4 linked regions of the Rattus norvegicus genome follow. The protein of the gene in region 4 binds, or shares a complex with, the protein of the main gene of each other region. Links are inferred from orthologs where the notes say so. Each region holds a gene or a part of one and is shown on either strand. Other genes may lie near its edges.

Region 1 (5,925 bases), on a different chromosome or scaffold from region 4:
GGAAAAAAAACCCCATACTGTATGTATCATTTCTTTTCAGAGCGCTGTCAGCTAAGTAACTCTGACAGCCACCAAAACCACCACAGTGTTTAGAAATTACCTTTTCCTTACCATAGGTGATAGGTATCCTCTGCAGTCCAGATGCTTAGAAATGTTTTGTGCCATTATATCATTCTTAAAAAAATCTAAAAGTCTGTGCTTTCTACCCCAAATATGTTTGCTTGCCTCAGTATAAAAATCGTGCCCCACCCCCATATGGGTACTGAGCTTGTAGATGTTTTTGTTACTACAGTATCCCACGTTGGGTGTCTGGAAGGTGTGGGCCTATGTTTGTACTTTACTTGGTGTGCAGGCTTTTCTTGAATTTGTACCCACCCGTCCCCATCCCCTAGTCATAGGGTTTTGCTGCTGTGAACAGACACCATGACCAAAGGCAAGTCTTATAAGGACAACATTTCATTGGGGCTGGCTCACAGGTTCAGAGGTTCAGTCCATTATCATCAAGGCGGGAGCATGGCAGCATCCAGGCAGGCATGGTGCAGGAAGAGCTGAGAGTTCTACATCTGCATCTGAAGGTTGTGAGGAGAATACTGACTTCCAGGCAGCTGACCAGGGTTTCCAAGCCCACACCCACAGTGACACGCCTACCCTAACAAGGCCACACCCACCCAACAAGGCCACACCCACCCCAACAAGGCCACACCCACCACAAAGGCCACACCCATGTCAACAAAAGGCCACACCTACGCCAACAGAGCCACACCCACTTCAACCGAGCCACACCCACTTCAACCGGGCCACACCCCCCAATAGTGCCCCTCCCTTGGCTGAGCATATACTAACCATCCCATGCTTCCTCTTCCTGTCTGGCAGCACACGGAAGGGCTACAGATCGGATTGGCCATCATTCCCATGCGTGTTAGTTAATGTGCACTTGTCTCTCCTGAGGTCATGATTGTGGTTGGTGGCCAGGCACCCAAGGCGATCCGCAGCGTGGAGTGCTATGATTTTGAGGAGGGCCGCTGGGACCAGATAGCCGAGCTTCCCTCCAGAAGATGCAGAGCAGGTACGAGCCCTGGCCAGCCCCGACTCACCTGGGCTCCCTGCAGCCCGTCCCCAGCTGGTGTGTGCCCAGTGATGGCTGTGCCTCGTGATGGCTATGAAGCCTTGCTCCTTATCTCTGCAGACCCCACCCCACCCCCACCCCTTCTCGCTGGCACCGAGGTGCTGCTTGCATTGAGGTCAGTTCTTATGCACTCGTGAGTTTGAGCCGATTCTGGAATTTGCACAAACCAGGTAAAGTTAGAGAGACAAATTGGGAGGAGATGAGTCCCATAGTCACTCTCGGGTATTTCAAGCCGGCGGCGGCCTCCCCGGGAGCCCGTCCTATGCCCACCTTGTCACCCATCAGGTTGGGCGGTCATCCCCGTCCCCGACTCTCACGCCCTATGTTCCTGTGTCTCAGGTGTGGTGTTCATGGCAGGCCACGTGTATGCCGTGGGCGGGTTTAACGGCTCCCTTCGGGTGCGGACAGTGGATGTGTACGACGGTGTGAAGGACCAGTGGACATCCATTGCCAGCATGCAGGAGCGCCGGAGCACATTGGGCGCGGCCGTGCTCAATGACCTTCTCTACGCGGTTGGAGGCTTCGACGGCAGTACGGGTAAGACCAGGACCTGTTGCCCTAACCACTTCTCTGGGCAACCTTGCTAGTCTGAGCATTTTACTGAGCAGCTGAGCGACTTTAAGATCAGGGATTGAGGTGCTTGTCTCAGAGCATGCACCGTACCCCGATAGGCCATCATCCTTTCTTTCTTTCTTTTTTTTTTTTTTGGTTCTTTTTTTTTTTTTCGGAGCTGGGGACCGAACCCAGGGCCTTGCGCTTCCTAGGTAAGCGCTCTACCACTGAGCTAAATCCCCAGCCCCGCCATCATCCTTTCTACTGTCCCACAGAGCAGTGCAGGGGCCCCTCGCTCCCACAGTTTATCTCACTTCAAATTTTCAACCTGGGGTCTAGAGAGAGGGAGAGGGAGGGAAGGAGACAGAAGGAGGGAGGGAGGAGGGAGGGAGGGAGGGAGGGAGGGAGGGAGAGAGAGAGAGAGAGAGAGAGAGAGAGAGAGAGAGAGAGAGAGAGAGAGAGAGAACACATGCATTGGCTCGTCTTCCTTAGGTCCCAGGTTCATTTCCGAGCATCCCCGTGGGAGCCTACAAGCATCTGTAATCCCAGTCCCAGAGTATCCGATGCCCTCTTCTGGCCTCCATGGACACCACACATACGTAGTGCACAGACATACATGCAGGGAAAACGCTCAACACACATAAAATAATTTTAAACATTTCAACTTGAAGGGTTAGTGGGTATGAGTTTGGAGAGAGGCCATCTGTGCTCACATTGCCAGGCAGGTTACAGAAGACAGCGACTACATCCACAGTGGAGTCTCTGGCTCTGAGGGCGGTAAACGCAGTGTTTTTTTGTTTGTTTGTCTGTTTTTCTCTACTGAACGTCTCTCTGACGGCTCCTCAGTGAGCATGAGCTAGGAAGGACACAGATGGTTGTTGCAGCAGGACTTCTCCCGCTGAGGAGAAAACCTGCCCGACTGCTGCACTGCTCCAGAGAGGAGGCATGGAGTTCAGAGGTCACTGTCCCCAATTTGGTCTGACTGCGCACAGATACTGGGGCCAAATTCCATAAGATTCTCTTGGCTTCCCCCGTGATAACCCTATAGTTGTTACGACTCCAGCCAGGACATCTGTGTCCCTGGTAGCAAGAAACAGGAAGGGTCACCCCTGCATCGGAGATGCCGAGGGCATCCTAGAAATCTCCATCAGACTTCTGCCAAGGGCTCAGGGTCACCTAGCTGCATGGCATCGTGGGAGATATATTTTTAGTCATCCAGCTTGTAAAATAGAAGACATAGAAGGGAGGTCGGGACCGGTGCCCGGTGGGGCATCCTCAGGTATTTGTTTCGGGTCTTACAAACGTTCCACTCTGAAAGTTTAATGGTTCACATCTACGGCAGAGTTGGGATGGACCCCTCCCATCTTGCCCGCTTCCCTGCATGCCATGTCTTGGTGGTCAGTGTTCACCTTACGTAGATTGAGGAGTTACTGTGGCCACATGCTAGGCAGAGGTGTACCACGCTGGATATCAAGTCTGTAGCCCTGTCTTGGTCTCTTCCCAGTCTCACCGTCCCTTACACGTCAGGGTGAGGTCTGCGGCTATAGAAATCCCATGATTCTCTTCTCCCCAGGGCTGGCATCCGTAGAAGCCTACAGCTACAAGACCAATGAGTGGTTCTTCGTGGCCCCAATGAACACGAGGCGGAGCAGCGTGGGAGTGGGTGTCGTGGAGGGTAAGGAGGTCGCAGAGGGTGGTGGCTGCTCCTGCCCTAGCCCGTGGGTCTTGTCCTGAGTACAGCATTTTGCTTGATGCTCCCTCTACTGTGACTCCACTCCTCAGGTCACTGGCCGGAGTTAAGTTCCTTGTCTCTAGTAAACAGACAAGGAGGGCCGAGACTTGGTGGGAATGCTCCTGGGCCAATGCTAAGAAGGGGTTAGCAGGTTGGGGGAGAAAGAGGAGACTTGGGGGGAAGTGAGAACTTGTCCCTTGGGCACCTCTGTAAGTATCTCTGCTAACTGTGGGGAATGGGAAATAAGTAGGGAGCCCAGAGTCGACACACACAAACTGGGGCACAGTGTAGCAGGGAGGGGTGATAATTATGCTTGGCTAACACTCTGCTCACCTTCATGTGTTGCATGCTAGCGGGGTCATGAGAAAGACGGGCTGCTTCTTTTTCAGGTCTGACATGTCTCGGGATAGGCTAGGTGTCGGGTGTGGTCTAAGCAGGAGGGTGTGGCCTAAGCAGGAGGGTGTGGCCGGGGCAGGAGGGTGTGGCCTAGACAGGAGGGTGTGGCTTAGGCAGGATGGTGTGGCCGAGGCAGGAGGGTGTGGCCTAGACAGGAGGGTGTGGCTTAGGCAGGAGGGTGTGGCCAGATCGGAGGCTTAGCCAGACGTTCTTAAAACATCTTTCTCTTATTCTTTCAAACCCTCCGGAAGAACTCAGAGGATGGAGTCCTTGTATCATGATAGTAAATAGCAGAGCAGTCCTGAAGGTCTTCTGACTCCTAATCTGGATCCGGAGACGGGTCTCAATTGCTGATAGGTAGGAGCTGTGGGCTCAGTACCCATGCAGAGGCCAGGATTCCGTCCCTCTATCCGGACAAATTGTATCCTCTTGACGAGGCAGACATTGATTTGCCAGCCAGATCCGAGAGCTTTGTCTAGCTAGCTTCTCATTTCCCTTCTTGTTCCTCAGGCAGGAACGGCAAACAGACCCAGGGTTAAAAACAGCAGACGCTTGCGCATACACTCAGGGAGAGACCTTGAGTGGCTGCTTAGCCGATACCAGGTTGGAATGGTTGACGGGAATGGTTAGCGAAGGTGTCTTGATGGTAGAAATTGAAAACACTGCCCACGACAGGGGCTGTGTCAGTGTCAGTCGCGGAAGTGCAGGCAAATGGCTTGCCCCGCAGACGTAGAGGGAAGCCGGGAGGAAAGCACCTGACACCCTGTGGGCTGTGTGTGCTGCCTCAAGAGAGCAGAAAATGTTTCTAAGAACGTGTAGGAGGCACTGGAGTGGACTGTGCTTTGTAACTGCCGAGGACTCAGATTTTTTCTGCACAGTTCCTTCTCCCGGCACGCCCTCTCCTTGCCAAGGTCATGCAGTCTGAATGACCCTGAACCACTAGGGGATAATTTGCTCATTGCCACCTAGAAGAATCCCTCGTAAGGGCAAGCTATGATGTGGGTTGGAGCGTGGACAGAAATGCTCAACAGAGCAGAGGGAGAGTCGCAGAACTCTCCTAAAAATGGGAACCACCTGAGCTGGCACGCGAGGGGAGAGCGGCCTAGGTGAATTTGTTTGTGTGATTTGACCTTGTGAGGGAGGAGCTGTGCAGGAGTTCTTTTCCAGAAAGGTCACCTGAAAAAAAGACTTGGAGAAAAATGCAGCTCAGCAATATAGAATTACTTGATGGTACAGCGCCGTTTTGGACCTGAGAAGCTAACAGTGTAATTGTGGATTTTCACATCCACTATGTTAGGGACTCATATAATGCCCCCTAAATTCTCGATTAGGTAATTCTAACCCTGGGTTTATTTAGCCTGCAGCTAGTGTCCATTTGGTCTGTGGCTGGTGTCATAGTACCCTGTAGATCTGAGGTCCATAGGTGAAGTAGGACTTCTTTCCCTGTCCCCACAGAAGGAACTCTCCTACCTTGTCTAATACTATATGTTAAACCCCATGTGTTTGAATCCTTGTCCCTTGCTCTCAGCTCCCAGCCTCAGATGGACATGACTCTTCCCCCACAGGAGCTCAGCATTATTTTTATTTAGGAACGTTGATGATACTTCAGGGTTCTCGTATGTGGCTCAGAGGACAAAGTAATTGGCTCGCAGAAAAATCCCAGCTGCCTCAGCCCTGGGCACACACAGAACGCTTCACCCAGGGCTTGGGCCCTCTTTTAGGAAACTTCAGCATTGCTTCTAAGCATCTTGGGGCTTCAGAGCAGAGAGAAGGCAGATATGTGGGGGGAGATGTGCCCTGTGTGTGGCGAGCAAGCCAGGTCCTCCCGGAAGGAGGAGACAGAGGTACCTCAGTGGATTTAAGTTGGAGCATCAGGGCTGAGAGATGGCTCAGTGGTTAAGAGCACTGACTGTTCTTCCAGAGGTCCTGAGTTCAATTCCCAGCAACCACATGGTGGCTTACAACCATCTGTAATCAGATCTGATGCCCTCTTCTGGTGTGTCTGAAGACAGCTACAGTGTACTCATATAGAATAAATAAATCTTGTCAGTGCCACTGATGCCACCCTCAGTCATTCTGTCTATTTCAGGGAAGCTGTATGCCGTTGGAGGTTACGATG
Region 2 (5,929 bases), on a different chromosome or scaffold from region 4:
AACATTTGGGTAATAATCTTAGGTAACAAGTGAGGTGGCACCGTATTTTAGATGTGAACTCCATAGCCCGATGAGTGACTACTGTGACATATTGTGTCATCGCTTCTCTTAAAAAGCCAGGCAGGGCTAGTGGTATGACTCAGTGGTAGAGTTGGGGTACATGGAACTCTGGGTCTAGTCTGAGCACTGCAGCATGGTAGTCCTGGGGCAATTTCAGATTAACGTCATATTTACGTGTGCATAAGCAGATACATATAATGGTGGTCTAATAAAATGGTTCAGGCCTCTTTTCTGAGACAGTGTCTCTTTATATAGTCCTGCCTGTGTGCATGTAACTCACTATGTAGACCAGGCTGGCCTTAAACTCACAGAAATAAGCCTGCCTCTGCCTCTGCCCTCAAGTGCTAGGATTAGAGGCATGCTCTACTACAGCCAGCTGTGGTTCCCCTTGGACCCCCTTTGAGATTGCCATTGATGAGACTGCAGAGATGGCTTGTTGCTCTTGCAATTGTTATTCTTACAGAGGACCATGGTTCAGTTCCCATCAGGAACGCCATCTTCTGACCATCGTGGATACCAGACATACATGTGGTACACAGCCATGTGCGGACAAAGCATACACACATAAAATAGTTTTTAAAAAAACCAATAAAACAGTAATATTGCCATTGACTGTGTTCTTTCTTTGGCTCTCACAGATGGGGTTCCATGTTCCCAGAACCCGACAGAGGCAATAGACGCTTGGATCAATTTCAATAAAGAAGAAAGAGAGGCTTTTGCAGAGTCACTCAGGACTAGCTTAAAGGTAAGGCACATTTTATTCTCAAGGATGGGGTGCCATAGTCTCTCTGCATTCCAGCCCTCAGTGGCCTTCTCTCTTTTGAGCAGGGGGAAATGTGTATCTTTTGGTGTACGTGTTGGGGTCAGAAGACAACATGCAGATGTCAATTCTCTCCTTCCACTATGTGGGTCACAAGGATCAAACTCAGGTCCTCAGGCTTGGGGCAAGCAGCTTTACTGCTGAACCATCTCACTAGTCCAGCCAGGCCTGGCATGAGTGTGTGTGTGTGTGTGTGTGTGTGTGTGTGTGTGTGTGTGTATGTGCGTGTGTGTGCATGCATGCAGAGGTGTGGTTATGTAGACAGTAAGCTATCAGATATTCCTCTGCCACTCTCTTCCCTATTGCCCCTGAGTCAGTGTCTCTAACTGAAGTTTACTGATGGCTAGGCTGCCTAGCCAGTCAGCACATTCCCAGGACCCATTTGTCTCTGCTCCCTCAAAGCTGGGGTTACAAGCATGTCCAACCATGCCTAACTTTTTATGTAGATGCTAGAGATTTTGTGAGAATGCTCAGGTCTTCATGCTTGTACAGAAAGTGCCCTTAGTCCCTTGGACCATCTTCCAAGCCTCTGGCCTGCTTCTTTTCATGGCCACTGATGAGTTACTAGCTTGAAGTTCCTAAGAACTGGGGAGTCAGATGTGTTTTCTGGTCCCACAAGCCGTCTGTCTGAGACCTTCAAAGTTCCTAGAGCTTTTGCCATCTTCTCTGAAAGAACTGCTTTCACTGTTGAGTTCATCAGCTCTAATAAGCTGTAGTGGCTTAAACATGAGTGCAAGTTGAGGACCAGCCTCAGCTACATAGTTAGTTCAAGGCCAGCATAGGTTACATAAGATCCTGTCTCAAAAATAAAAACAAGGGGCTGGAGAGATGGTTCAGTGGTTAAGAGCATTGACTGTTCTTCCAGAGGTCCTGAGTTCAATTCCCAGCAACCACATGGTGGCTCACAACCATCTGTAATGGGATCTGATGCCCTCTTCTGGTGTGTCTGAAGACAGTGACAGTGTACTCATATACGTTAAATAAATAAATCTTCTTTAAAAAATAAATAAATAAATATAAACAAACAAAAGCAGAGTTGACTTCAGATGCAGTTCAGTTGCTAAGATGCTTGCCTTGTGTCATGAAGTTCTGGGTTTAATTCCTAACACTGAAAACCAAAAGCAGTAAGAGCAGATGTGGTGCATCCTATAATCCCCCTTGGAGGCTGATGCAGGAGAATCTAAGCATGAACAGTTTGTTCTACATAGCAAGATCTTATTTGAATAAATATATAAATAAATTAAATTGCAAAGATGAACAAAACAGATTCTCTGCCCCTGAAAATCAAGGGATAGTCAGGATGTGAGGCCTGGACCTCTAAGGATACCTGTGTTAGTAGAGTCTTCACATGAGCTGACATCAGAATTTCAATTTTGCCAACAGGAAATTGGGGAGAATGTGCACATTTACCTTATTGGGAAAGAGTCATCTCGAACCCACTCATTGGCTGTGTCCTTGCACTGTGCAGAAGATGACTCCATCAGTGTAAGTGGCCAAAACAGCTTGTGCCACCAGATCACTGCAGCCTGCAAGCATGGTGGCGACTTGTATGTAGTGGGAGGGTCCATCCCACGACGCATGTGGAAATGTAACAATGCCACTGTTGATTGGGAGTGGTGTGCTCCTTTGCCCCGGGACCGCCTCCAGCATACCCTGGTATCTGTGCCTGGGAAGGATGCCATATATTCCCTGGGTGGCAAGACACTGCAGGATACCCTTTCGAATGCAGTCATCTACTATCGGGTAGGTGATAACGTGTGGACAGAGACAACTCAGTTAGAGGTGGCTGTATCTGGGGCCGCTGGTGCCAACCTCAATGGAATCATCTACTTACTAGGGGGTGAGGAGAATGATCTAGACTTCTTTACCAAACCTTCCCGACTTATCCAGTGCTTTGACACAGAAACTGACAAGTGCCATGTGAAGCCCTATGTACTACCCTTTGCAGGCCGGATGCACGCAGCAGTGCATAAGGATCTGGTGTTCATTGTGGCTGAGGGGGACTCTCTAGTGTGCTATAATCCCCTTCTAGACAGCTTTACCCGGCTCTGTCTTCCTGAGGCCTGGAGCTCTGCCCCATCCCTCTGGAAGATTGCCAGCTGTAATGGAAGCATCTACGTCTTCAGGGACCGATATAAGAAGGGAGATGCCAACACCTATAAGCTCGACCCTGCCACTTCAGCTGTAACTGTCACAAGAGGCATTAAGGTGCTGCTTACCAACTTGCAGTTTGTGTTGGCCTAAAACACTGATGAGAAGAACAGCTGACTCCTTTGCCCTCCCCTCGTCATGTATCCCCAGTCAAATCTGAAATCCCCCAGTTCAGAGTAATGTGTTAGTTTGGGCATACAGGAGGAAGGCAGCGAGCGCCTCAGCCCACCCCAAGGCTCATGGGGTGCTATGTGTAGGGCTTTTCATTCTACTGCTGCTTGAACTCTGCCATTATCCCCTGTGATCCTGTGCCTCACTTCAGACTGCTTAGAGCCAGCCTCTTCTCAGACTTAGGCACAGCCCCCCTTACCAGATCAGTGTTAAAAAGAAGCACCTTGGGTCCCATGCAGGAAGACAGGCCCGTTCCTTTTGTCTATAGCCAGCAGAGTGGCGAGTTGTCACTGCTCCACAGAGAATTAAGTATGAGAGTTTCCCTTCAGGATTTGGATGGGACAGTGGACTAAGCTAAAACTGTACTTCACCAGCAAGAATCAACTGTACAATTCAGGATGTCCTTCAGATGTTTCCTCATCTGTCAGGAAAAGAAACTTTGGTTGGATTTTTGGCTTATACAGACAGATAAGCCAGAAAGTAGAAACAATTGTTTCTGATTAATAGCAGAAACTGTATTCTAAACTCAAATATAAACAGTCTCTGGTCTTTTAAAGGCTCTAAGCTAAATAAAGAGTTAGGAACTGTTCATACAAATAAAAGCTTTTGAAATGATATGTGTGTCTGTGTTGATTCCTGAATGGGTGGCTTCTGAAGGGAAACTAATTGTAGACTTCTTCCTTCCTGACTCAGTAATCCTGCCAGCACCCCATATATCCTTTAACATTCTGATCACTGCCCCAGAAGTGTGAGGGGAGTCCCACAGGACCAGGGAAGTAAGATTATTTTTATTTTTATTTTTGGAACTGCTAGGGACCAAATTCGAGACCTTATACATGCTGGGCAAGCATTTTGCCAAGTCATACAATTAAAATTTGGATCTGACAGTAACAAAGAACAGATCTATGCTCTTCTTCCCTTTTCTAGCATTAAATGCTTTGCTTTACATCACATATACCAGAAACACAATAGATTTCTGTTAAAGTTAGTATTCCTTATCTCTGTCAAAGAAAATAAGATTTCGCCAGACAATCTTGTTCTCTGTGGCCATCCAAGTGTTATTTCAGGAAGGAAGGCAAAGGAGGGACATTATACTCAGCACATTTGCAGTGGTGGTGGCTTAAGCGCTTTGTCCTTTAACATGTTACTGTATCTCGGAGAGCCAAGTTCTTTGTCATCCACAGACTTCATACTCATGTCAGCACAAGAGACCAGTAGTTAGTTCTTTGCTGCCCTTGCAGCAATCTCCTTGTGGAACTCTTTGAGAATTTCCAACTGGCTGGGCCTGATGGAGATGTGTGACCGGATTTTGGCGATAGCTTCTATAGCCTCCTCTGGGCTCCAGTTGTGTACCTGAAGTACAAGGTTAGAAGATCAGCCAAGAGAAGGAGGAGCAGTTATACAACGCCCTTGGCCTATGAGCAGGTGCTAAAGGACTCTCAGAATTAATCTTTAAAAAGATTCGGGCTGGCAAGGTAGCTCAGTGGGTACAGGAACTTTCTGCCAAGCTTGACAACTATGACCAAGAGTCCCAGGAATTCACATGGTAAAAAGAGAGAACTCCTGCAAGTTGTCTTCTGATTTCCAGTGAGTGCCACGGCACAGACATGACCACATGCACTTGCACATATAAATTAAGTAATGTGTAATCAATTTTCTTCAAGTAAATGAAGATTCCATAGTAGAGGGATTTGAAAATCATGTTCCAGCTGGGCTAAAAGGTACAGGCCTGTAAGCCCAGTTACTCAGGAAGTTGAGGCAGGAGGACCACAACTTCAAAGCTTGTCTGAGTTATAGTTCAAAGCCAGCCTAGCTGACTTACTGAAACCATGTTTAGTAAAAAGAATGCCCAGGATATAGCTCAATGGTAGAGCATTTGGTTAACATGCTTAAATCACGTGGGTCAATGCCCAGAACTAAAAAAAGGGAAAAACAAAAAACAAAAAAACAAAACCATTCCTTTGCTAGTGTAGTATGCTGGAGCGTCACATGAGCACAGGAGTTCTAGAGGTTGAGGCCAGCCAGACCAATGTCAGATACCTTGTCAAAAAACAAAAGGACAGGTTTCATGAGAGCACTTTTAACTACCTCAGTCAGCAAATCCTACATCCCACATGAAGCCGAAACCCCAGATTTTATAGGTTTACTCTGTCCTTTTTGAACTAGGATTTTAACAATTGCTATATTTATATATTTATATTATATATAATATTAATATAGTGAGTGTGTGTGTGTGTGTGTGTGTGTGTGTGTGTGTGTGTGTGTGTGTAGCTCAGTGGTTAAATGCTTGCCAGGCCTGAATGAAGCATATGGGTTCAAGTCTCGGCACCAAGCACACTAGGTGCCTTGATACACGACTGTAGGGAAGGCAGGAGAATCAGAAGTTTAAGGTCATGCTCACGGACATAAATGACTTTGAGACCAGCCTATAATACAAAAGACTTTGACACAAAATACCCACAAACTCATACCAACCTATGGCAGTTGTTTTCCTGTAATTCATCACCATAGCTAGGAAAATGAGTACTTTTTAAATTTAGGAGTGTTAACTTTGTGCTTTAAGGATGCACACTGATTTAGAACTCTGTTGTATTAAAACAAACAGCTCTAGCCTGCTGGGTCAAATCTCATTTAGATCAAAATACCCTCCTGAGATTACTTCCAGCAGATTCTTTTTTCTTCATGGTCTTTTTTTTTTAAAGACAGAAACAGTTTATTATGGGTCAC
Region 3 (5,925 bases), on a different chromosome or scaffold from region 4:
ATGTAGACCGGGAAGAACATGTTTATGAAAGCATTATAAGGTGGTTTGAACATGAGCAGAATGAAAGAGAAGTACACCTTCCAGAAATTTTTGCCAAATGTATACGTTTTCCTCTAATGGAAGATGCATTTATTGAGAAAATTCCTCCTCGGTTTGCGCAGGCCATAGTCAAAAGCTGTGGAGAAAAGGGACCATCCAACACCAATGGCTGTACTCAGAGGCTTGGAATGACAGCTTCCGAAATGATCATATGTTTTGATGCTGCACACAAACACTCAGGAAAGAAGCAAACAGTGCCTTGTCTAGATATAGTCACAGGAAGAGTGTTTAAACTATGCAAACCACCAAATGACCTAAGAGAAGTTGGGATTCTTGTATCACCAGATAATGACATATACATTGCAGGAGGGTACAGGCCAAGCAGCAGTGAGGTGTCCATTGATCACAAAGCAGAAAATGATTTTTGGATGTATGACCATTCCACCAACCGATGGCTTTCCAAGCCATCCTTGCTTCGGGCCAGAATAGGCTGCAAACTAGTATATTGCTGTGGTAAAATGTATGCAATTGGAGGGCGTGTTTACGAAGGCGATGGACGAAACTCACTGAAGTCTGTGGAATGCTATGATAGCAGAGAGAATTGCTGGATGACTGTTTGCGCCATGCCAGTTGCAATGGAGTTTCATAATGCTGTGGAGCACAAAGAAAAAATCTACGTTTTACAGGGTAGGTAGCATAAGGATTCTTCATCAAAGGGTTATGTTTATATGGCAAGGGTGGTTTCCTTGACGATAGCAAAGCAGGCGATACTCCTAGTAGTACTTAATACTTCCTAACCATAGACTGTGCTAGAACATTCACGTAGAAAATCAAGGTCAAAAACATTTAAATTTTTAAAATATTTTTAAGTTACTGAAATGGTTGGTCCTTTGTTTTTGAGTTATGTTCAGATCTCATATAAAGTTTTTAAAAGCATAATAAGTAATAGTTTATTACTGACTACTTTGGAGCATTTTAAAATAAACAATAAGCAAAGGCTAATCACCCGGCTATTTTTGTTCTTTAATAATATAATCAAGAGACTTGGCTACAACTCTTTTATAGAACTTACTGATTGAGTTTACTGGAATTGACTGTTCATTTACCAAGGAGCTTTGTTTTTCTTCCAAGGTTTATTTTTCTTTTATATGTCTGAACATTTTGCCTGCATTTATGTCTGTGTACCAGGTGCATGCCGTGTTCACAGAGGCCAAAGGTGTTGGATCACCTGGAGCTGGAGTTATAGACAGTCGTAAACTGCCATGAGGGTTCTGGAAGCTGAACCCAGGTCCTCTGGAAGAGTAGAGCCGCAAGTGCTTTTAAACACTGAGCTCTATTTCCAGTTCTACCAGGTTTTTGTTTGTTTTGAATCTTATGTAGGCATTTTGCTTGAGTGTATGCGTATATACCACATGCATACTTGGTGACTGCAGAAGCCAAAAGAGGAGAACCCTGGAACTAGAGTCACAGATGGTGTGAGCTGTCCTGTGGATGCTGAGATTTGAACTTAAGCCCTCTAAAAGAGCAGCTAGTGCTCTTAGCTGCTCACTCACATTCCAGTGCCCACAAAGAGTTTCACTAGTTATGAAACTTTATTACAAAGGCTTGAGATTATCATCTTTAGATCTTAGCTTTTTAAAAATTGTATGTATACGAGTGTGCAGGTCAGACATTATTAACATTGGCTGTTTCTATTGTTGGCCACCTTATTTTTTGAGACAGGCTCTCACAGACACTGGAGCTTAACAATTAAGTCGACTAGCTTGCCTCCAGGTCCCTCAGGAGTCTGACTTTCTTTGCTTTTTCACTGCTGTGGTTATGTAGGTGTGCCACCGTGCCCTGCTTTTTCATGGATCCTAAAGGTCTGAACTCACATAGGTTACATTGCAAGCACCTGACCTGCTGACCCCCAGTCCCTTTACATTTTCTAAGAATATTTTAGTTGTTGGAATTTTGAATGCAGTTTAGATTATTCCAAAATTCTTATTTACTATGTTTCTTAAGGGATTATATTCACATATTTCCTTATATGACTACTTTAATAAATCAGGAACAATGTAGGTTTTCATGAAAATATACATGATTATTTTTAAGCTCTATCCCATTTTTAAAAATGATATTCTTTGCTCTAATCCTTTGACTTAAAATTTCTCAGAGAAGCCCGGATATGTTTGATTTAAGTTGCTTATTAATTTTGTAGAATTAATTAAGGTATAGTACTAATGTACTTTAGTTAAAATGAAAGCATGGTTTGGATTTATCTTTGTAAAATATAGGAATGGTTATATCTAGTGTGATGAAGTGTGAAGTGTGAAGTATGTCCCACCCCCACCCATATGTGGTACTGGCAAAAATAGTTTATAGAGATAATTTTAAGGCTCCTAATTGGAGTATGTAGGCTGTATATTAATGTAAATATTATAGCAAAACAGCAATAACTTAATACATTTATGCACCAGAGCGAATAATTTGTAGCCAGAGGTATAAGAAATGTGTAGACAACTGGGTCATATAAGATGTCTTAACTCCCATGTTCTTTATCAAGAACACCAGAATATAAGTCATAGTAGAAAGAAAAGGTAATATGCAAGCAAAGGTTAGGGCTTAAATAAAAGTGAGGTTGAAACGTCACTCTTATTAAGTATGTAATTTAATCTATAGATGAGAATGTCCTTACTTTAGAATAGTTTAAAGGGAAGCTTTACTTAGACTCTAATATTCTTTTCTAACCTACAAAACCTTCTTACATATATAACCTGGTGATAACTGTCAAAGAAGGTTATGTCTTACAGATTGAGCATTCCTAATGTAAAATGCCAAAATCTGAAATCTGAATTTTGAAATTCGAGACTTTTTTGATGTGGTTCTACATTTTATACCCAACCTTATAAGAGGTCACAGTCTAAACGCAGGCACTAAAGATACCGTAGTAATCCGTGTTTTGACATGGAGTAATCCCCAGGATATTTATGTACATGTAGATACTCTGAGATCTGCAGTACTTAGAGTGTCAAGCACTTCAGAGAGAATATTCCAGCCTGCTCTGCCTATAACTGCCTGTCTCTAGACTCTAGTCTCCATAGAGCTGTTACCTACTATCATGAGACATTATTCTGTGTTCCCATTAAGCTTCACATAGCTGCCCATACCTCTAATTCCCGCTCTTGGGAGGGTAGGGTAGGAGGATTTCAAAGTGAAGATGAGCCTGAGTTCAGGCTAGAGACCTTATCAAAAAACAAAGCAGTGTTATATCATTAGCAAGATCTTGGCAATATTCACTATTTTAATTCTTACAGACATTTTCCTATTGACAGTCTGGCTCAGTGCACACACCTTTTTATTGTCAGTTTAGAAGAGTAACTGACTATCAAGTCCATAAATTGTTTGTTGTCTTTGCTTTATAACAACATTGACATAAACACACGAGTGACCACAAGTTCAAATCTAAACAATTCCATATGCTATTTTCTAACCAAGTACCACACATGTATGTGATGTATTTTTTATGGTTAAGTTGTATGTGTTCATGTTGCCTGCCTTACTCCTCCTGGGTCATACATCCCAGTGCAGATTGGGTGTAGTATTACTGTTACTTTGTATATTCTAGGAGTCAAGAATTTGGAAGGAAAATATTGTCTTCTGAGGTTGGAATTAAAGATACAACTAAACATGAAAATGTACATAATTGTTTCCCTTTTCTTTTTTAGGAGAATTTTTCCTCTTCTATGAGCCTCAAAAAGACTACTGGGGATTTTTAACCCCCATGACTGTGCCTAGAATCCAGGGCTTAGCGGCTGTGTATAAAGACTCCATCTACTACATAGCTGGAACCTGTGGAAATCATCAGCGTGTGTTTACTGTTGAAGCCTATGATATTGAGCTAAATAAATGGACTCGAAAAAAGGACTTTCCTTGTGATCAGTCTATAAATCCATACCTTAAGCTGGTACTTTTCCAGAATAAACTTCATTTATTTGTGCGAGCTACTCAAGTGACTGTTGAAGAACATATCTTCAGAACCAGCAGGAAAAATTCTCTTTACCAGTATGATGACATCGCTGACCAGTGGATGAAAGTGTATGAGACCCCAGATCGGCTGTGGGACCTTGGCCGCCATTTTGAGTGTGCAGTGGCTAAACTCTATCCTCAGTGTCTTCAGAAAGTTCTTTAATAAATAGCAGGCCAAAGCACGTCACTGGCATCTCTCATACTAAGGAAGCTTGTTTAGGAAATGCTGTCAACATTGAAGAAAGCTAACAGTTTTGTATTCAGAAATGGGTGCTCGTAAAGATAGTGGTGTTGGGAGGGATTTGCTTTTACCTTCATGATTTTTTCATTTTAGTCAGGAAAGGTAACAAAGTGCAATTATCAGCATTTTTCCACCCCTGGCATAAAAGTATCATCCTAGAATTTTGTGATAAATAGTTGCTGAGAAACCAGGTGAATTCAAGACAACTATGCACTCTTGAAAAGCAGAGTATTCCTGGGTAGAGAAATCCAAACTGGTTAACGTGACTTTTTATTTTAAATACGGGTAACAATATGAGGCAATATCATTTATTTAGCTGTGATCTCTCTAACACAGAGAAGCACTAACTTAGATCCTCAGTCTTACTATTTATATCTATTTACATATATATTTTTGTGTGCTGTTTTCAAGTGTACGAGATTTAAATGTGCTCTGTCAGACTGAAGGAAAACTCAGTTTTCAGAACGAACTTCAGATTGTTTCATATTTCTCATGTAACTTTTAAGTTAAGCTACAAGGTTAAAGTGGCAGTTTTTCTGTCCATAACTTTTTCAAGTGCTAACACTGTCTCATTAAAATCCCAGATAGGGCTCAGATTTGCAGGTGACTGGTGCTCGTATAAGTTAATTCACGTGTCGTTAGATTGATTTAAATGGTTTATGAGTCAATGTTTCTCTTTCGGATTAGCATGCTAGTTCCATGGTTGTGGCACTTTACCTTGTGACTCCACAAGGTCTGCTATTTGTGTGATAGGATCTGGCCGATGGCCATTAGTCTAACTGGATTCAGTTTTACAATTCCAAGTTTGCACTAACACGGGCTGTTTTGTTGCCCAAACTTTTTCCATCCTCTACCTTTCCAGTCATTGCTAGTATCGTGAAAGTTAACTAATACTGTGAAGTTTTAACACCTACTTACAAAATTCTGTTTTCCAGAAACAAGAGTCTTGGAGTGGTCTAATAATTCAGTGGCTTCTAAGGTTCCTATGACAGTTACAACCTCTATTTTTTGCACTCAACAGTGATGAATATTTGTATGTTGAGACACTTGTATCTGAAGGTGATGTAGAAGGAGGGATGAGTTGAATGAACAGAGTCATAGGTTTCTGTACTCTAGGTACTAAGGCGCTGTTCATATTGAACTGATAAGTGTCTCAAAATTAGTTAGGAATATTAACATTAACTCCTTTTTTACCTAAGGCAGGCATTTAGGTTGACAACATACTCATTACTATTCCTATAACTGATAAAGAATATTACACATAAGGCAGAGCCTGTCCTCAGAACAATTTTAAAGAGAATCAGTTTGATTTCTCCTGAAGAAAATTGGCATGGTTTATATTGGGAATAAAGTCTTACACGAAGCGTGCGGTGATAGATACTGTGAACGAATGGAAAGCATAGCCTCTTGCATCACATACCTCCTTTTCCAGAAACTGTAGACTGCTTTACAGCGGCCCTGCAAGCGGAGAGCTCTCTGAAGCAGTTCAAGTGGACAGCATTCGCAGAATGACTGTGTATGTGTGGCTTCTCCTAATCTCTTTGTAAACTTTGTCAACCAATATATTTTTTTTAACCTCTCTAGTTTGTCTTGTGTTTTCTTTTTTCATGCTGTTTTAGGGTTATTTCTGTGAATTT
Region 4 (6,536 bases):
TCCCTGTGTCAGGATACTGTCAGCAGGAGTAGGAATAACAACTGTCAGGCATGCAAGATCTAGTGTGTTTTACTGCAGTGTGCTTGCTCTGCTGGGAAGGTGGCCTGCTTGCACAAAAAGATAGTATCTTGTAAGGTCATCTTCTATTTGGAAGTCAGGGATCACCACGTGGCACGGAAGAATGGTCTACCAATATAGAAGTGTTTTTCATATATATTTTTCAGGACGCTGCTTCCCTAGAAAGAAAGAAAAAAAACCCCTCTGATTTCTGAAGTATACAGTAAGTTATTGCTCCATTCAGCTTGGGTTTGTGGTTCCTAATTGTGAGATATAGAAAAGGACTTTTATGCTCTATGATGGTGGGGCCCAACTCATTCATGCACTCTAGTACTTCACATGTATAGTAGCAACTTAGTAAATATTTGAACAACTGAATGAATGAACAAATAAATCAGCAAATTTCTCAATAATATTAATTCTGAAAAATTTTTGTAGTTTTTTTGGTGGTTAAAAAGTCTAAGAGTTGACAGTGATTCTTTTAAATGCCCCTAAATTTTGCTTAAGTAACGCAAACATGGAAATCTGTGTTTGTAGAGCAAATGAAAGTGGTCACATAGTTACGAGTGAATAGATAGGTCATAAGGTAGTTAACTCCTCTAGGTTTTGGTTGTTTCCCCAAGTTCATGGAAAAATGAGAAAGATTAGGGCAATGTGCTATTTTTCATAAGGCTAAACCTCTCAATGTAGAATAGTAGTTTTTGTTATTTTTTTTAAATTGCAAATAAAAACACCACCTTCATCAGACTCGATGATCTTCGAACTTGGCATTTAGAGGGGAAGCTGTGCAGCTTCACATTAAAATCTTACACTTTTATCCCACGACAGAATTATAACTAAAAATAAGACTTTTATCCTTCTTCATAACTTGTGTGCATTCAGTCCTTCCATATCCAGTGTTGCTTCCTTCTCCATACCCACATGCACATTTGACTGCATATTACAAATACTATTGGCTTTATTCTCATGAGAGAGAACATGCAGTTTCTTTTTTTCAGGGAAAGTTATACAGTTGATAAAGTGGCAGAGCTTAGATTAAAGCCAAAGGCTCAAAAAATGTATTTTTTAATAAGAGTCATGTGACAGGACAGCCAATAGAAAAAGGTTTCAATATTCTGATAATTATGGAAATGACGATCAGGTAGCATACTAGTTATAAACACCTATGCATCACTTACTCATCAGAGTCCTTCCTTGTTTTACTTAACTCATTCTTGATGCTTTATTTTTAGCTTAGCAAAAGCAACATTCTCCTTAAGCTTGTTTTAAATATTAAACGTTTTTGCTTTAAGTTTATTTTTCAAAGGGGCACTTCAACCAGCGAGAGCCCAAATGCATAACTCTGTAAGCTTAGACATTACAAATAATTTAGGGTCAATTCAACCATAAGTAAACAAGCTTTATCGAGTTTTCCATTTTTTATTTAGAGCTCAGCTTTCAAATATGGCTGTTAATCTTAACAACAGTTCATTCAAAATGGGAAGATCGGAAACTTTGGGAGAATCTCAGATTTCCCAGCGTCGTTGGAAACAGCAATTGAGCAAGTAGGTAAATCAGAAGTAGGATTCATTCTGAATTAGAAGCAAAAGGCAGTAGAATTGGACATTTCGACTATAGGATGATAAAAGAGGTCCCGAACAAATAAAAAATGTCTCCAAACCTACAGCAAGCTTAATGCCACGGTGATTTTGGTTTTAATGATATATACTGCTCTTGGAAATGGTCATATGTTTAACACAAATATTGTGGTACATCAGGCACTTGTTTTATTTCAATTCAAACAAAAACCGGGTTTTAACATTAGTGGGCTCTGGATTCTCCAGAAAGTACCAACTAATCAACAAGCCCCGGAGCTTGCGCAGTGTAAGAAAGCCGGGTTGACTCAATACTGAGGCGTTGCAACACCTAGCTAAATACAGGACACTGGTTTCATAGACTGCAGGTAACTCAGGCACAAACACTGCTTTCAGGTTTCTGGCGGGGATCAAGTACCCATCCCTAGGCCACGTGCCCTAGAAAAACACAGGAACAGTTCTAGGACATAGGAGCCTTCCTACTCGCACCCCACACCCTTTCCCCTGACTACCTGCAATCCGCTCGGGCCAAGCTCAGCCCCGCCAGCCCACAACAGAGCACTCCCCACTTCCCATTCGGAACTTCCCCCGCCCACTGCCCACGTGACACCTCACCTTCGCGCTCCACCAATCAGAAGCCACCTCCGCCTACCAGGGTCTCCGACGCTCCTCTTTTGAAAACGCAGCCTACGCCTCCTGCCCCAGGCCCCGCCCCCAGGGCGCTGACTACGCCCATTCCTAACTCCCCCCACCCCCCCTACTTCTCCCCGCGCCCTCCCTTCCCGGGCTTCGCCCCGCCCCGCCCCCGGCCTTGCGCCCGCCCTGATCTCGCGAGATCGGACGTGCCCGCCGCGGCCTCCCGCCTCCCCTCCCGTCCTCCCGCCCCCTCCCCCCATCTCTCCACTCTCCGCTCTCCTCCCTCCCTCCTCCCCCCTCCACCCTCTGGGCCGGATCTCGTCTCGCTGAGGCGGAGGAGGAGAAGGAGGAGGAGGAGGACGTTCGGCCTGCGCAGTGAGATGTTTGTCCGTCGCCGCCGCCGCCGCCATCGCGGAGGAGCGCGATAAAGGGAGCCGAGCCCGGCGCGAGGGGAAGCCCGCGGAGCCGCCGCGCCAGCGCAGCCCCCGGCCGAGCCCGAGCCGCCCGAGCCCGAGCCGCCGCCCCCGCCGCCGCGGCCGCCCAGGGGCCGGCCCGCCGCCCAGCCCAGCCCGGGGGCCGCGCCGCCGCCCCCCGCCGAGCCCCGCGGCCGCCCTCCCGCCTTCAATGTGACACCGGCGCCTCGGAGTGCGAGCCGCAGCCGCCGCCGCCGCCGCCGGGGAGGGGCCGAGCACCATGTCGAATCTGAGCAAAGGCACGGGCAGCCGGAAGGACACCAAGATGCGGATCCGGGCCTTTCCGGTGAGTCGGTCCTCGGCGCCCGGGATCCGGAGCCGCGGCCGGGAGCCGCACGCGAGGCCGGGGCTGAACTCCGCCAACAGGCCGCAGCCGGCCTCCCCTCCCCCACGGCCGCCGCCGGTGGCGGGGCGCGAGCCTTCCCGGCAACGGGGCGGCGCGGGGCCGGCGCGGCTACCTCCCGGGCCGTTCCCCGCGCCCCGGCCGCCTCGGGGCCTCCTTCGCGCCGGCCTCGGTGCCGCGGCCCTGAGGGGATGCGCGCTGCCGCCGCCGCACCCCTCGCGTGGGGCGTGTGTGTAACTTTTAGCGTGCGGTTTCCAGAAGGACCCGGCTTGGCTTTTACGGTGGTGGGGAAGGATCGTCCACCTCCGCCCGACTCCTTAGTCAGGAGCGGTCTTGCCATCCGACTGCCCCACTCACTGACAGAGATGCCACGAAATACCCACTGGCAAAACACTACTAGCAGCGAGCATAGTATTTATAGCATCTTTGATCCTGCAAGCCTCCTAAGGACTTGACCCACTCGGGTTCAGAATCGTCCCTCCACTCTTTGAAGGGCCAGGCACAGAAGGAGCTCTTGCTTTTCCGTGTCTTAGCCAAGGAAGTCCCCAAGAATAGTTGCCACTCAGACTTGTTTTACCTTGTACGTCTTTAGCGACAGCAAACGTTTTCTCTTCAGAAACTTTTCGTCTTGGCGTTACGTTGAGTCATAGGCTTGCGGTGTTTAGTAGATGGAGTGTATGTAACTTTGGATGTCTTGCCTCGATCAGATAGCCAGTGGCAGGCAATTAAAACGTCCTGTTGTAACAAACTGGACGTACTTGCTCATGTCGCTACAGTAACAGGTAAAAGTCAAATAGACAAACCAGCAGTGGAGCAGATTTTTAAAAGTAAAACTGGAGGAAGTTGTTTTCCCCATCAAAGGCTCATAAGCATTCTGTCCTGTGGGAGGGAAAGGGGGCCTTTGTCATCACTTTTTGAGCAGGCTTTTCCTGAAGTACCCTTTGCTGTGAGGAAAGGAAAGACCACGAGTTAAGTAACTTTGACCTGGAGAACTTGAGGGCCTCTGAATTCCTCATACCAAAGAAGTTACAACCGATGCAAAATTGTGGCTTTGCAAGGGACATAGTGTCAGCGTGTAGAAACTTGCACCTTAATGTAAATAAATGGGCTCTATGTAAACATGTAGGGCATAATTGGGTGAATGAGGTATTTTGATATTAGTTGCATTATGAGTGATTTTTCTAAATAAGAGATTACATCAGAAAGTGAGAAATGCCGGAAAAACAGCGCTAATAAAGGTAACTATTATGTTTTCCTTTGTAATTGGACAGTGAGCCAGGTTTATGAGCTTAATTTCCCTACTGAATCAACCACCCAAGTGATTGTCAAATCCGAATCCTTCCCTCTTTTTTTTTTTTTTTATAGCAGAATTCAGACTTAGTTGGGATTTTGTTTTGTCTTGTTTTTTGCCTTTTTTTTTTTTAAGTCAACAGTGACACTGATTTTTCTAGGAAATGTTTGCTCTTGGTTCTGTTGTTTCTTGGAGTCTTTGTTGTTGGGTAAAAAGTGAAAGAGCTTATATTTGGCCAGTTAATATTTTTCAGAGTAACCAGTTCTACCTTTATCTGTGTTTGCAACTCTTTGATCTCTAGATTTCTCTACTTGAACCTGTAGAGAAATCATCATTGGTCCAAGATATACTGAGTACTGTATGCAGTACTATTTATTCCTAGAGCTTTAGGACTTAGCAGTAGATGTGAAAAAGGAAAAGATCAGTGTTTTCTGGAGCTAGCATTGGGGATTAGAAGCAGGAAGAGAATTTTGTATCATTAGCTGAAGATGGTAATAGTGTGTGATAAGCTAGTATTGAAACTGAGATTTTGTTTTGTTTTTTGTTTGTTTTCTAGTTCGTAAGTAAATAACCATAGGTTGTTCCCGTTGAAAATAATCAGCCATGGTTGAGGCTAGATAATGCCCCAGTGATACTTCATTGAGTTCTGGGAAGTGCATCCTTAGGCTGTCAGGATTTCTTTCATTCAGATTAGATGTCTTGTATATAGTAAGTACAGCCCACATGGACTCTTAGAAGTTGTAAGTATGTGGTATTTCACACACAGAAATACATACCATTATTTGCTTATACATATATGTTCTTACAACTGGTATATGTTGTACCATGTGAATATGTTGTTACCCATAGTTTATGGCAGACTGTAAACTAATCAAGTTTCAGTTGCTCATTTCAGGTTTTTTACAAAATGGATGTGTAAAAGGAATGAAATAAGTTTAGACTTGTTGGTTTTCACTGTACAACAGTGGTAAGTTAACTTACAGGATATATTTCATAAATAGATGAGTACTTTTGATAAAAGTTACCATATAAATCAGGGTCTTTACTTTTTTTCCTTACATTTTTAGTGGATATTTTAAGCTTGCTGTCACATTATTAAGCAGAGTAAAAGTTACACCGTATTAACTTAGAATTAATACAGTTTTTTTCCTGCCCCCTCAATTTAAGTAAATCTACAAAATTTATTTAAAATAATTAATTTCTGTATTTTTAATTGTTGACAGAAAAAAGTTAATCTCTTAATTTTTAGACTTCCCTTCATTATGTAGAGTATTGCTTATTATACATCTTTTTGTTGGTAATTTTTTAAAAAGTTTTTTTTAAATTATGTGTGTTCAGTTGTGCATATGAATACAGGTGCCTGCAGAGGGCAGTGGGGTCAGATACCCTGGAGCTGGAATTAAAGACCCTTGTGAGCTACCCATTCCAGTCCTGGGAACCAAAGTTCTGGCCCTCTTCATGAGCAGGGGACACTTTTAAGTGCTGGAACTGAGAAGGTTATTAAGAAAGGAGGTTGTGTATGGATTTGAGCCAAGTAATTCCTTTGGGAGAGATACTTTCCTCACTGTTACCATGTGTCCTTTTTTTTTTTTTTTCTTCCTTTTTTGCGGAGCTGGGGACCGAACCCAGGGCCTGAGCTAAATCCCCAACCCCACCATGTGTCTTAAGTCATGCATTCTTAGCTCTGTATAGTCTGTTGGGTTAACATTTTTCTGAAAAGCCATTCCTCAATGCATTGTCCAGAATTTTTGTTCCTGTGGGCTTTTAACAGGCTTGCTTGGAATTGGAGATGTGATTATTGAATGAAAATGTTATCCTTAGATTTAGGAGACACTGTGAAAATCACTTCTACTTTGTGACCTTTTTCTTAAAACTGCTACCATGAGTCCTGGAAGTAATGTCAGTTAATATTATAAAGCTTATAACAGGGACAGGGACAACTCTTGATGTAATCTCCATGATTGTAGATGAATTTCACCTGTGCAACATGGTCAGCAAATGGTGCCCACAAAATGACAGAAAAGTTAAGATGTTTTGTGACAGTCATTAGAGCATGAAGAGATAAGGGCTTGGGTATATAGTTGATGTCTTTTTCTTATATTTCTATCTACATAAGTATTTGCCAGATTTAAGGGACATCTTTGATCTTCCTGATAGTTTTT

Evidence for each region.
Region 1: the proteins of Cul3 (region 4) and Klhl3 are in contact, whole or in part, in a crystal structure (PDB 4HXI), measured with the Homo sapiens proteins. The link is inferred for Rattus norvegicus from reciprocal best matches to the Homo sapiens genes CUL3 and KLHL3. Residues at the interface, in NP_003581.1 of Homo sapiens: Ile44, Asn49, Ser50, Gly51, Leu52, Ser53, Phe54, Glu55, Leu57, Tyr58, Arg59, Tyr62, Thr63, Leu66, Lys68, Met118, Asp121, Ile122, Met124, Tyr125, Arg128, Val129, Gln133; in NP_059111.2 of Homo sapiens: Pro73, Tyr74, Ala77, Met78, Asp82, Met83, Ser84, Glu85, Glu92, Ile93, Lys94, Asp95, Pro125, Ser128, Leu129, Gln131, Met133, Arg136, Asp160, Val161, His162, Thr163, Thr165.
Region 2: Cul3 (region 4) and Kbtbd4 share a complex: the UniProt entries of both Homo sapiens proteins name them as parts of the BCR(KBTBD4) E3 ubiquitin ligase complex. The link is inferred for Rattus norvegicus from reciprocal best matches to the Homo sapiens genes CUL3 and KBTBD4.
Region 3: Cul3 (region 4) and Kbtbd8 share a complex: the UniProt entries of both Homo sapiens proteins name them as parts of the BCR(KBTBD8) E3 ubiquitin ligase complex. The link is inferred for Rattus norvegicus from reciprocal best matches to the Homo sapiens genes CUL3 and KBTBD8.

What each region holds. Positions count from the first base shown.
Region 1 is NC_086035.1:6,628,674-6,634,598, forward strand, and holds part of Klhl3 (kelch-like protein 3), read left to right. Parts: intron 1-948; coding exon 949-1,066; intron 1,067-1,465; coding exon 1,466-1,663; intron 1,664-3,251; coding exon 3,252-3,353; intron 3,354-5,895; coding exon 5,896-5,925. UniProt on the Homo sapiens protein: Substrate-specific adapter of a BCR (BTB-CUL3-RBX1) E3 ubiquitin ligase complex that acts as a regulator of ion transport in the distal nephron.
Region 2 is NC_086021.1:97,341,783-97,347,711, forward strand, and holds the end of Kbtbd4 (kelch repeat and BTB domain-containing protein 4), read left to right. Parts: intron 1-698; coding exon 699-805; intron 806-2,263; coding exon 2,264-3,124; 3' UTR 3,125-3,817; downstream 3,818-5,929. Other genes in the region: Ptpmt1 (phosphatidylglycerophosphatase and protein-tyrosine phosphatase 1), read right to left, coding at 4,421-4,555. UniProt on the Homo sapiens protein: Substrate-specific adapter of a BCR (BTB-CUL3-RBX1) E3 ubiquitin ligase complex which targets CoREST corepressor complex components RCOR1, KDM1A/LSD1 and HDAC2 for proteasomal degradation.
Region 3 is NC_086022.1:129,238,651-129,244,575, forward strand, and holds the end of Kbtbd8 (kelch repeat and BTB domain-containing protein 8), read left to right. Parts: coding exon 1-726; intron 727-3,746; coding exon 3,747-4,210; 3' UTR 4,211-5,871; downstream 5,872-5,925. UniProt on the Homo sapiens protein: Substrate-specific adapter of a BCR (BTB-CUL3-RBX1) E3 ubiquitin ligase complex that acts as a regulator of neural crest specification.
Region 4 is NC_086027.1:89,114,763-89,121,298, reverse strand, and holds the start of Cul3 (cullin-3), read left to right. Parts: upstream 1-2,871; 5' UTR 2,872-2,960; coding exon 2,961-3,026; intron 3,027-3,036; exon of another isoform or gene 3,037-4,321; intron 4,322-6,536. UniProt on the Homo sapiens protein: Core component of multiple cullin-RING-based BCR (BTB-CUL3-RBX1) E3 ubiquitin-protein ligase complexes which mediate the ubiquitination and subsequent proteasomal degradation of target proteins.